Linked DNA regions of Daphnia pulex. The protein of the gene in region 3 purifies or fractionates together with the protein of the main gene of each other region. This does not show direct contact. Links are inferred from orthologs where the notes say so. Each region holds a gene or a part of one and is shown on either strand. Other genes may lie near its edges. The genes, in order: COP9 signalosome complex subunit 5-like; apoptosis-inducing factor 1, mitochondrial-like; thioredoxin-2-like.

The links.
Region 1: the proteins of thioredoxin-2-like (region 3) and COP9 signalosome complex subunit 5-like purify together in Homo sapiens (affinity purification with western blotting; 3 studies listed by BioGRID and IntAct, with this or other methods). This does not show direct contact. The link is inferred for Daphnia pulex from reciprocal best matches to the Homo sapiens genes TXN and COPS5.
Region 2: the proteins of thioredoxin-2-like (region 3) and apoptosis-inducing factor 1, mitochondrial-like purify together in Homo sapiens (affinity purification with mass spectrometry; 3 studies listed by BioGRID and IntAct, with this or other methods). This does not show direct contact. The link is inferred for Daphnia pulex from reciprocal best matches to the Homo sapiens genes TXN and AIFM1.

Annotation. Positions count from the first base shown.
Region 1 is NC_060026.1:5,023,676-5,027,187, reverse strand, and holds COP9 signalosome complex subunit 5-like, read left to right. Parts: upstream 1-1,613; 5' UTR 1,614-1,681; coding exon 1,682-1,821; intron 1,822-1,881; coding exon 1,882-2,116; intron 2,117-2,174; coding exon 2,175-2,369; intron 2,370-2,429; coding exon 2,430-2,627; intron 2,628-2,691; coding exon 2,692-2,949; 3' UTR 2,950-3,009; downstream 3,010-3,512. Other genes in the region: transmembrane protein 65-like, read right to left, coding at 3,345-3,512. UniProt on the Homo sapiens protein: Probable protease subunit of the COP9 signalosome complex (CSN), a complex involved in various cellular and developmental processes.
Region 2 is NC_060023.1:11,493,256-11,497,703, reverse strand, and holds the start of apoptosis-inducing factor 1, mitochondrial-like, read right to left. Parts: upstream 2,914-4,448; 5' UTR 2,802-2,913; coding exon 2,720-2,801; intron 2,636-2,719; exon of another isoform or gene 2,610-2,635; coding exon 2,425-2,609; intron 2,364-2,424; coding exon 1,949-2,363; intron 1,463-1,948; coding exon 1,329-1,462; intron 1,262-1,328; coding exon 1,131-1,261; intron 1,069-1,130; coding exon 893-1,068; intron 713-892; coding exon 527-712; intron 357-526; coding exon 160-356; intron 96-159; coding exon 1-95. UniProt on the Homo sapiens protein: Functions both as NADH oxidoreductase and as regulator of apoptosis.
Region 3 is NC_060019.1:1,507,847-1,511,084, reverse strand, and holds thioredoxin-2-like, read left to right. Parts: upstream 1-1,297; 5' UTR 1,298-1,416; coding exon 1,417-1,440; intron 1,441-1,622; coding exon 1,623-1,727; intron 1,728-1,794; coding exon 1,795-1,920; exon of another isoform or gene 1,921-1,977; coding exon 1,978-2,040; 3' UTR 2,041-2,596; downstream 2,597-3,238. Other genes in the region: E3 ubiquitin-protein ligase rnf8-B-like, read left to right, coding at 3,121-3,186. UniProt on the Homo sapiens protein: Participates in various redox reactions through the reversible oxidation of its active center dithiol to a disulfide and catalyzes dithiol-disulfide exchange reactions.

The DNA.
Region 1 (3,512 bases), on a different chromosome or scaffold from region 3:
GCTGAAAATCGTCTTTAATATCTGTTAGAGAACCAGTTACAAAGATGTTTCGCTTCTCTTTATCTAAACCTAATCCTCCGCAATAAAGTTTGTGCACATCATTTAAACCGTTAAATGAGCTGACATTTTGCCACTCTAGAATTTCTTCCGTTTTTCTTGACTTGCCATTACAGTACTGGGGATTTTTCAGAGAACGATCAATAGGGGTACCAGATTTTGCGGCAAGGAGCATGTTTCTTTGAAAACTCGTGATGCCACTGATCGCTATGTGCAAAGCCATCGTATCAAAAAATCGAACTTTGGTGCCATCGATGAAATACTGCTCTTTTATTCGCGAACGGTCATAACTTACATTATGTCCTATAACGATACGCTCTTTTTGATCTTTGAGAGGGAGACGGTCTTGTTCCGTTTTTGATTCCAAGTTGATCAAGTCCTTTAATTCATAAATACTTTCCATATCCTTCAAAATTGAACTTTGCACCTGTCAAGTAGGATAATAAAGCATTGATATAGGGTGAAAAAAGTATTAAGAAAAATAAAAATAAACCTTATTTTCAGTAAACAGCTGATTACTACACCATGAGTACCAGTAGTTTTTTGAAACTGCAGTTGCAAGGGTTGGCAAATGGCCCTCTTTCACACAGACTTCCACATCAAAGACATATGCATCCTCTTCTGGAAAATGAACTAGATCCATCTCTCCATTTTGGTTGTATCTTGTCCATCCAGGTGCAAAGTTCCAGACTTGAGGGATGTCTGGAATGCAATGTGATGTCAAATCTAACAATTTATTACGGTAACTTCCACATTGTTTTTCAGCAATTTTTTCAAAGTGTTCTGCTATGTTTTTTCCTAATAAAGTTGGGAGCTTCAAATCAATATCTGGGAGTTTACTTGGTGATTTGCCATAAAGATGGTGAATTGATAAATGCTGCTGAATTTTTAACAGCGTTTCTTTAGATACAGAATTGTTGTTTTCTTTTTCGAATATCTGTCGATGGATAGATCTTGATAACATTTGTATACCACACGGATTAATAGTAACACATTTGTTTGAAATAGATACTTCTTCTTTGCATTGGCTTTTTGTTGAAAAATGTATTCTATAATTATGAAGAATATTTAAACTAGATAATGAATATTTCCAAGGTATTTTCCTACGGTTATGTTTAATTTGCCACACTCGAAACGAAAGCATGTTTGGAAACAAGTTTGAATTTGTTTATCGGGCATCGGCAACTCCACGGTAAGAAATAGTAAAACGTGGGAAAAAGAGTAGATAGGGATTTAGTGGTGAGGCAATGGACAATGGACTAATGGAGTAGGAGAAGTCAGAAGTACTGAAGTAGCAGTCGTAGCAGACTAGGCAATCGCAGTCGTCCAATCCATCCCTGAGGCTGAAATCCTACGTTTTACTTTGTTCCTACCACCGCCGCGACCCGCATTTTACCTCTTCATTCTCCCAGCAGCTCCCAGTATGCCAAAGGCAAAACAAGACCCGTAGGTCGTAGTCTCGTAGACGACATCAACAGTCGATGAGATTTAGTTTCCGGCTGTACGTTTGGATTTGATATATTCAGCACTGGTATACCTCGTTCGAATTTCCCCATTTGGACTTTAGAGTGTCTTTTGCAAAAAGAGGTTTCAAGTAAAATTGGTTGTGTGTTCCACATCCAAGATGAGTTCACAATCTAACATAGCCCTGAATAATTGGCTCATGGCTAATAATGTGGAAAATATTAGTTCAGTTGACGAAATTTATCGATATGATAGAAAGCAACAGCAAGACATGTTGGCTGCTAAACCATGGGATAAAGAGTAATATTATTTTTTATTTTGTATCAAGTCATGTTAACAACTTTACGTTTTATGTTCTAGCCCTCATTTCTTCAAAGAGATCCGTATATCAGCCTTGGCATTGTTGAAAATGGTTACTCATGCTCGGTCTGGAGGACATCTAGAAGTGATGGGATTGCTTTTGGGCAAAGTAGATGCAAACACAATGGTGGTAATGGATGCATTTGCCCTGCCAGTTGAAGGCACAGAAACCAGAGTAAATGCTCAGTCACAGGCTTATGAATACATGACTGCTTACATAGAATCAGCTAAACAGGCAAGTACATTTGCTCTTGATCACATTTTTAAGTAACTAATTGGAATATGAGTATTAGGTTAATCGTCTTGAAAATGCCATTGGATGGTACCATTCACACCCTGGATATGGATGCTGGCTATCAGGAATTGATGTTTCTACCCAGATGCTTAACCAAAATTTCCAGGAACCCTTTGTTGCTATTGTTGTAGATCCTGTTCGTACTATTTCAGCTGGCAAGGTGTGTCTTGGTGCCTTCCGTACATACCCTAAGGTGAACAGATATATTTTTCTATCAAGCGTACAGAGTAGTTTACTTTTTATTTTTCCTTAGGGTTACAAACCCCCAAATGAAGAGCCAAGTGAGTATCAAACCATCCCACTCAATAAGGTTGAAGATTTTGGTGTCCACTGCAAGCAGTACTATGCCCTTGAGGTTTCTTACTTTAAATCAGCTCTGGATCGCCGTCTATTAGACTCATTATGGAATAAGTACTGGGTCAGCACATTGAGTTCTTCATCTCTCACCACAGTAAGAACAAATATTCAAAGCGTTATATCATGTTATAAAAAGTATTAATATCTCTTTTTATTAGAATGCTGATTATACAACAGGTCAAGTATCGGACCTTTCGGAAAAACTTGAGCAAGCTGAAAACTCTCTAGGACGGGCGGCTCTAGTCGGAAGCGGCGTTGGTGTGAGTGGCTCCAGCATTGAGGATAGAAGATCGGAAGATAGGCTAGCTAAAGCAGCTCGTGATGCTACAAAAACTTCCATTGAAGCTCTTCATGGTTTGCTGGCTCAAGTAATTAAAGATCGTCTGTTCAACCAAGTGCGTTCAAGGCCTGCGTGAACCATCTCGTTTTTCTAAATATCCTCTGAGAATCCTTAATAATAAACTGGCTTATGCATACCATTTTGTTTGTGTTTTCTGTGAATGAGTTACCAAGTGTTAGAATATATTGTATTGAACATGTAAAATTCTTTGGCTATATCTCTAATAATGGGGTCAAGATTGAACAGCAATTGTGGGCAATATAAATAATTGTTATGTGAAGAATCTCCACGTTAGTTCATCGGAATGCTCAAAAATGTGCAAAACAATAAGAATCGAACATTAAAGTTGCCAAGTCGCAGTAGGATCCATTGCCATTGCGCGGCAAAATGTCATTTTTATGAGTTTAAATAATTATTTTAGGTTCACGTATTTGTAAGGTTATAAGACTAATAATATATCGGACATGCCAATCACAAATGAGATGAAGGGTCCTTTGAATGCCGTTTGCTGTCAGATGTAGGTAAAAATAAAAGTGGTACCATTCCAAGCACACATCCTATAGCAACACCAATAGCACGTCCGATATTAATGGCCCAAGTAGTTGATCGAAAAGCATATTGCCGAGGCTCGAGATCGGG
Region 2 (4,448 bases), on a different chromosome or scaffold from region 3:
CCACCAAAATTGGAATCTATTTCCAAACCAGAAGCGACGGCCAAATCCGTGTTTGCGTCCAAACCAACAGCAACGACAACATGGTCAGTTTTAATCTGATGAAATAATTGTTAGATTTTAGTTGACATCGCTAAGACATGTATTAAAATAAATGTTTACCTTTTGACCATCGTTTAAGGTCAATACGACCTTGTTGTCTTCCAAGCTTGCACCCTCAACAATAGCTTTGGGCATAACCTGAACACCTTCCGCTTTCACCTTCTCGGTTGTCCATTGGCTCAAATATTTAGGGAGGACTCGGCCCATGTTACCGTCCTCAGGGAAAACTTGAAGCACCTCCAATCCATTACTTTTGGCTAAATGAAAGATATGTTTCCATTATGCAATTTGCCAACAACTTGAATGGATTCAAAACAAGGTTAATACTCAGATACTATCTAGCAGGAAGACAATCATAGTCGTTCAACATTCCATAATTTATAATCACAGTGACTAAAATGATTTTATGAATGGTTCAATTATTTACCTCTTCTGCCAAGAGCACAGGCAAGTTCACTGCCAAGGAATCCACCACCGATAATGGTGATGGACTTGACCTGGCGGGAGATGGAGTCGAGTCGCTGGAAGTCATCGATGTTGCGGAACAAGGTTAAGTGTTCCTGGACATCTTTAGGGGCACTGCTCAGGGATGGCAAAGATTTCGGTTTACCACCTAGCAATAAAACAACGGCCATTTTTAGAGTGATTCGTAAAAACACAAATAAATTGCTGAAATTTAAAAAGGCTCTCAGATACTATCTAGCAGGATAATTATCAAAATTGTTCAACATTCCATAAGGGTGTAATCATTGAGACTTTTAAAGACGAATTTCGTTTAGCATAAAATGTTTACCTGTGGCAATAAGGCACTTGTCGTATGTGATGGTACGACCATCGTCAAGTTCGGCTTTCCGACCAACAATGTCAAGTTTAACGACGCGGTGTCCACGTACAACTGCAACGCCGCCATTATCTTTGCTGTTCAATTCGACGGGATTGCAATAGAATTCGTCTTGTTCGAAAAAGAGACTGGGAAGGAAAATAAGTCATTAGTACATGTTCCACATAGTTGTAATTAACATTGGGCTCACCTTCGCTCTTTGCCGTTCCACTGTTTAAATCGAAGTTTATTTGAAACTTCGGGGTCTTCACTGAACCACAATTCTTTCGACAGAGGTGGTCTCATGTAGGGCAAGTGATTTTCTTCACCGATGACTAAAACCTGTAATGGGTACAACACAAATATTTTTACTATGCATGTAAACAAAACCAATAAAAATTTTTTTTACCTTTGCTTTCGGGTCACGTGATTTGATGGCACGGAAAGCGGCAAACGATGAAGTACCAGCTCCAATCAATAGATAAGGAACGTGCACGGGAAAATCACCGGCGACTGCAACGGCTGCTGCTGCAGCTGGAACTACTGTTAAAAAAAAAGGAAAAAAATAAAATTAAGAACTTTTCTACATTAAGAAAATTTTTCTACAGCTAAAAGAAGGGATTTCTTGATCAAACACTCAGCTTCCCTCGAAATTGTATTGCTTCTAATCGGCCAACGTACAATAAGTCTTCCACCAACCATTCATTTCATCAAATATTTCACAACCTACACTTTGAATCGAAATTTAGCCAGTGTTGCGGCAAATTACAAACAATAAACTCTGAAGGTTAAAATAAATTTTTGGGCACTGGGCTAAAATTGGCGATATTCCAAAATAAGACTATTTTGTTAATGGACTGAATAGATGTGGCAGTTTTGATACAATTCATCTATTCTAGCGAATGAGTCTAAATTAATAACTAACTTATGATTGTGATTCTGTGACTGATGAAGAACCATCAGAAACAGTTTCAGCAACAACTTCTACAGTCAAGGCAACACTCACTGTAGGATCAGATTGAACTTCACCTTCTGATTGATCAGAGGGCCCTGATTCATTTCCACTAGGAGCTGGGACAGCTTCTACACTTTCAGGTACAGATGCTGGAGCAACTTCTTCAACGATGACGGAAGCAACTTCAGCCACAGGGACAGCCTCTTCTACAACTGCAACTGGAACAACCTCTTCTACAATTGCAACTGGAGCAGCTTCTTCCACAACTGCAACTGGAGCAGCTTCTTCCACAACTGCAACTGGAACAACCTCTTCAACAATTTCCACTGAAGCAACAACTTCTGGTTCAGAAATAGGCTCTTCTACAATTGTAGCAGCGGCTGCTGCAGCTTCTGCTGCCTGCTTGCGAACCTGTTCGTGACTCAATACATTGACTTTGGTATTCAATTCGGGGCCAAGGTTAAGGTAGAATGAACCTGTTTGGTATCCCTGTGTGTGTAGAAAATGCTGTTAGCGATGCTGTAACATTTTACATAAATATTTAATTTACCACAAAAACTGTGAAAGCCGTGAAACCCAAACCTGCAGCCAAGTGCATGTTGTACTTTGCTTGTACTCGGGAATGTTCTGAAGCCCAAGAACCCTTAGGTGTAGGCATTTCGTTCAACGTGGCCGGTTTAATTGCTGGCGGGTTGTAGCCATGATCTGAGCCGAATCTCTTAGTTGTACTTTCGCCTAATTAATACACATCGTATCAGTTCCTAAACTTACAGACACGTTGCTATAGTTTCTTGAAACTGGCAATTCATATAAACTACACATAAATGAATGAAATTATATCTTACCGACAAATCGTTGTCTGCCATGACCAAGATTTGACTTAATGGTGGTTGAGCATTGAGAAACCAATTGCCGGCATCTGTACATTTTCGAGCCGATTTGTAAACGAAAATTTCGAGATTGAGACCGGTCACGTCCTCGAAAATGGCCAAGATGGAGAAAAAGGAGGAGGAGAAAGGACTCTGGAGCACGTGATCAGAGAACGTTGCCAATTTCGAAACACACTTCTTTTGTGATAAATAATGAATAAGAATATGAAAAAGAGCGATAATTTAATGATTAAAAATTTTTTAAAATGTTAACCAGATAGAAAAAAAGTTTTTCTCATTATTTGCTTTAAAGAAAGAACAAGCTTTACGCCACCTGTGGCGATTATTTGCACTATGATTCAAACAAATATTTCTGAATTCGTTAAGTTTAAAAAAGGATTACTACTTTACTAGGCTATTTTAACTTTTGCCAATTAATTGTTTTCTGTTGCAAATGTCATTCGTCCCTCAGGCTACGCAACGAGAGCATTCGTTTGTGGTTTAATGGATAGTCGCCCAATAATGTTCAAAGAAAATAAACGTCCCCTTCCAAGACCAGGAAATTTAAATATCCTTTTGGCTAAATGATCTTGAAACTTAATAAGTTGTTGCCGGCCATTGTCGTCAAATTTGTTTAGCTCCGTTTCTCCCTGTCGCACGCAAATAATGAACGACGCACTTTTTTCTTCCTTCCCGATAGATCTTTGGTCCTTTAATACGGGTTTTACCTCGCATCCTTTTGAAATCTGTTGTTTATTTATACAGGCAAGAAATGTCTCTATACAGCGACCGCAGTGAACCCTACATTCAAAGTCAAGGTAACTGTACGCTATATAAAGAGCGGGATAAAGGAATTATTTACGGCGAATTTCCTTATTCATTTTTCTAACAAGAAAAATCACCACGCACTGATGAACAAACTTAGCATTTTAAACCTAGAAATGTCCAGTCAGGTGCGTACATATTTTAAATATTTGTTGCACTCCTGCGTGTGCTGTTTAGCTCAATTCTTCTTCTACTTAACATGCAGCACTCCTGTCTAGCAGCGTTATTAATGTACCTTTTTTTATTCGGTTTGATTTCTATGGCGAACAAAATAGAAATATTAGTCATCTGCCTGTGGAAAACTCACCTCGCTGGCTTTGTGTCCGTTTGAACGTCATTTTTTGTGACGACTTAATCATTCGTCACAAATTGCGACTCACAATTTTTCAAAGGTACAGGGTCGCTAATAACAGGTTTTGTCGGCGGTTCTAAAAGATCAGTGGTCTGTGGGATTGCCTTTTTAGGGTAATCAAATTTGGTGCGTACCTTCGTCACGGTCATGCGACTCAAACCGGAACAATTACTCTTGAATGATGGCACCAACCCATCACCATGATTACACAGCAGTAAATTTAAGCTGACCAATAATGGTGTAATAAAAGTCAAACAAATTTAATTTGACGCTATTCATTTTCAATACAAAATCTAAATTCATGTCCAGCAGTTTTGCGACATTTTTCAATGTTCCCGCGTGAGTTTGACGTAAACAATTAATATTAAACGGTTTATTCTATGCTCGCGGGAAAACTCGTGTGTAGACTTATCGCCTTGAGGAAATCTGATGAGCACAGCAGCTTCCTTTTCCATGATTGAGCTAATGTGATGATGCTTATTCATTCCAAACGAATATGTCATTCTGAAAGAAAAAAAGGACGATGTA
Region 3 (3,238 bases):
AAACACGTACACACACAACACAACAGCCATTGATGTGGCAAGGGTATAGGGAATGAGCACACACACACACAGAGTCAAGGCTCGTTGTTTAGACGGTGGGGTTGGTTAAAAAACTTAATTAAAACACGTTGAAAACACTGATCGAGTCGATGAAAATGAGCGAAACGGATGGAGGACTACCTTAGCGGCGCGGCACACGTGACCCTGCCCCCGAGAATTCCATCATTCGAAATAATATCCCTTTTTCTCTTTACACTAGCTCCGAGTAGTCGGTTGTAAGAAAAAAGTTAAAACCGCGACACATCCACAAGCCTTGGCTGGGCTGCTGCTGCTGCTGCCCAAGCTCCGCCCACTGTATAGCCCAACGGTTTCCCCCTAGTCTCGCCAGTCAGAACCTTTGGGGTTCTCTCCAACGAATTCACGGAGGGACTTTCTACAGACAATTTTCACCAGCACCAGCAGTACGGGGAGAAACGAATATGTTGACGTCACCAAGCCACCCCCCTCCAATGGACAACTGGACTCCACCCCCTCCTCTCTAGGCTTCTCGTTTCTCTGCTTCTCTCTCAGATGCCTCTTCGTTTAATGAGGTAACTTTTGCACCCACATCGTATACACACACACACGCAGCAACACGATTGTACACACCTAATACGATATACTGTTGCAATCAGCGAGAATTAATTACAAGCATTTTCTATACTAGTCACAATGCTTTCTTCGGGTGACGACGACGCCATTGACTGATTAATTTCGACTATCGGTTGCTAGATGGCATTGTGCGATTGTGGGCTCCCCCTATGTTTTTCTGATGACATTCTTTGGTTCATTTTTATTCATTTTTTTATTTAATCGCATCACTGTGGCTCTTTAATCAAAGCCGTGGGTTGTGATGAGGGGACCTTCCATTAATGTGCATCGTTCACGATTTACGTTTTACGTCAGCAACAAAATGTATGTTGGAAAAGGGGGCGGTACTAGAGGTTTTTACTCACTAGGTAGGTCACTACTCCATTCGTTGGCTATAATTTACTACAGAAAACTTTTAGACACCATGAAAAATTAAACGATTACTAAAAATAATGATCAACGCGTGAAAGATAAGTTTTCAAGTGCTCGTGAAATTGAATCTTTTCCTTGGGGACTGATGCTTCGCCACTAGATGGCAGACTATGAGATCCAACCAAACTTGATTTATTAAAGGCCCGAAGAATCAATTAGAACCCAAGCCTAAATGTTCTCATTTTTCCCACCAGTGGCGCTAGCAACAAACATAAGACACTTGTCCGATCTGTGCGTTAAATTCTGACTCGTCATTTTACGCTTGAGCCGGTCGTTTGCAAGTAGCTCGTCGAGGATCTTCACGTGACATTCGATTCCTGCTGTTCGTGTAAACTTTGGGATATATTAATCATCATGGTCTATCAAGTTAAGGACAAGGTACACATTTCAATCGACTCATGCTCTCGGTTTTTGTTACATCATCGTTTGAAAGGAGAGAAACGCCATCAATTTGACCTCCTTTTATCGTTGTTGCGTTATGCCAAATTACAAAACCAACAACAAACTCGTGGACGGTTCCTTTTCCGTGTTTGATATACTTTCTTTTTGAAAAATTCTAGCAAGACTTCAATAACCAGTTGAAGGAAGCAGGAGGAAAATTAGTTGTTGTGGACTTTTATGCCACTTGGTGTGGCCCCTGCAAGATGATTGCTCCAAAAATTGAGGTCACCAACTTAATATTCATAACTGTTTCAAAGTAGGTGTTTCATCAACTTTCAAATTCTACTGCAGGCAATGTCGAAAGAGATGCCCAATGTTGTTTTCGTTAAAGTTGATGTGGATGAATGTGAAGATGTTGCATCTGAGTACAACATTTCGTGCATGCCTACATTCCTCTACTTGAAGAATGGTGTAAAGGTGAGTCATCTCTAAAAATTTCATAATTACAGCTTTCTAACTGTCGTTTCATTATAGGTTGCTGAGTTTTCTGGAGCCAATGAAGACCAGCTTAGAAAACTGATTGATCAACATAAATAGATTTCCCAGTTATGTGGCCTGTATATTGGCTAGATGAATACTATGCTCTTTTATATTAAATAATTGTGTAATGGGATTTTCTGCATTATACCACAGGAAATACAGGCTGACAAAAAAATTGTTCTTTCATTGTTAGATACAAATTACACTATAAACTAAAAGCATTTTCACATTTTCCCAATTGATGTGAACTGCAGCGTTTTTCATACCATTAAGAAGCCATAGCAACGGGAACCCCGACTTCAACAACAGCAATAATTTAATGACATTGCCTAAACCTAAATCGATGAATGCGTTCGATAAAGCTTTAACTAACTATATTAATATTGATCAGTGTGTCGTCCCTCTCTCGCTTGTAATGAAATCCAGTTTTTACGGTTGGGTTCTTGATAACTATAAGGATTTCACGGTCAGATTTAAATCGCTCAGTAACACACACACAAAGAGCCGAAACAGCCGCTATATCCAATCGATAACATAATAATTGGATTTCGAGTAAAACGTGACTCTCTAGCAATCTTTATTACATCAGATCTGATTACGACGGCAGTTAATACATTGTAATGGAAAAATTAAGGCACCGAGAGGGTCTACAGAATTTCCTATAGAAAAATGAGCCTACGATCAGAAAGGGAACCCTAAAAATTATAACAAGATACAACTGCATTTTCTTCCTGTTAGCTACAGCGATCACAACGGAATGTAAATTTAGAGTGCTCTTTTCCGTTTTGGAGGACACTTTGTCTAGTTATAGCGGGAAATTACCAAATAGGATGGGAATTTTTATTGCGCCATCCATTTCGTTTAACTGCAACTAGAATCATAATCGAAAATTATTCGACCGAATATTAATGATATGCCAATTCGGAATCAACGACAAAATTTACAATAAATTACGATTTTATTGCTACAATAAATTGCGTAACTTTTCCCAATATTATCGGCACAAAAAAAAATTCCCAATTCGATCATCTCAATCGATACTTAATCCAAAAACATTTAGTTCGCAGAACATTTCTGCCACTGAGACTTCATTCGACATCGACGAGCTACTGATCAAGACGTACATCAAGCATCAAGATGGGAAAACAGACACGTGAACGTCAACTGAAACTCGAAGCCAGAATTGTGAAGCTGAAAAGTCGAGTAAGTACCGCAGTCCTATCATTAAATAATTAAAATTTATGCATTCGTATAA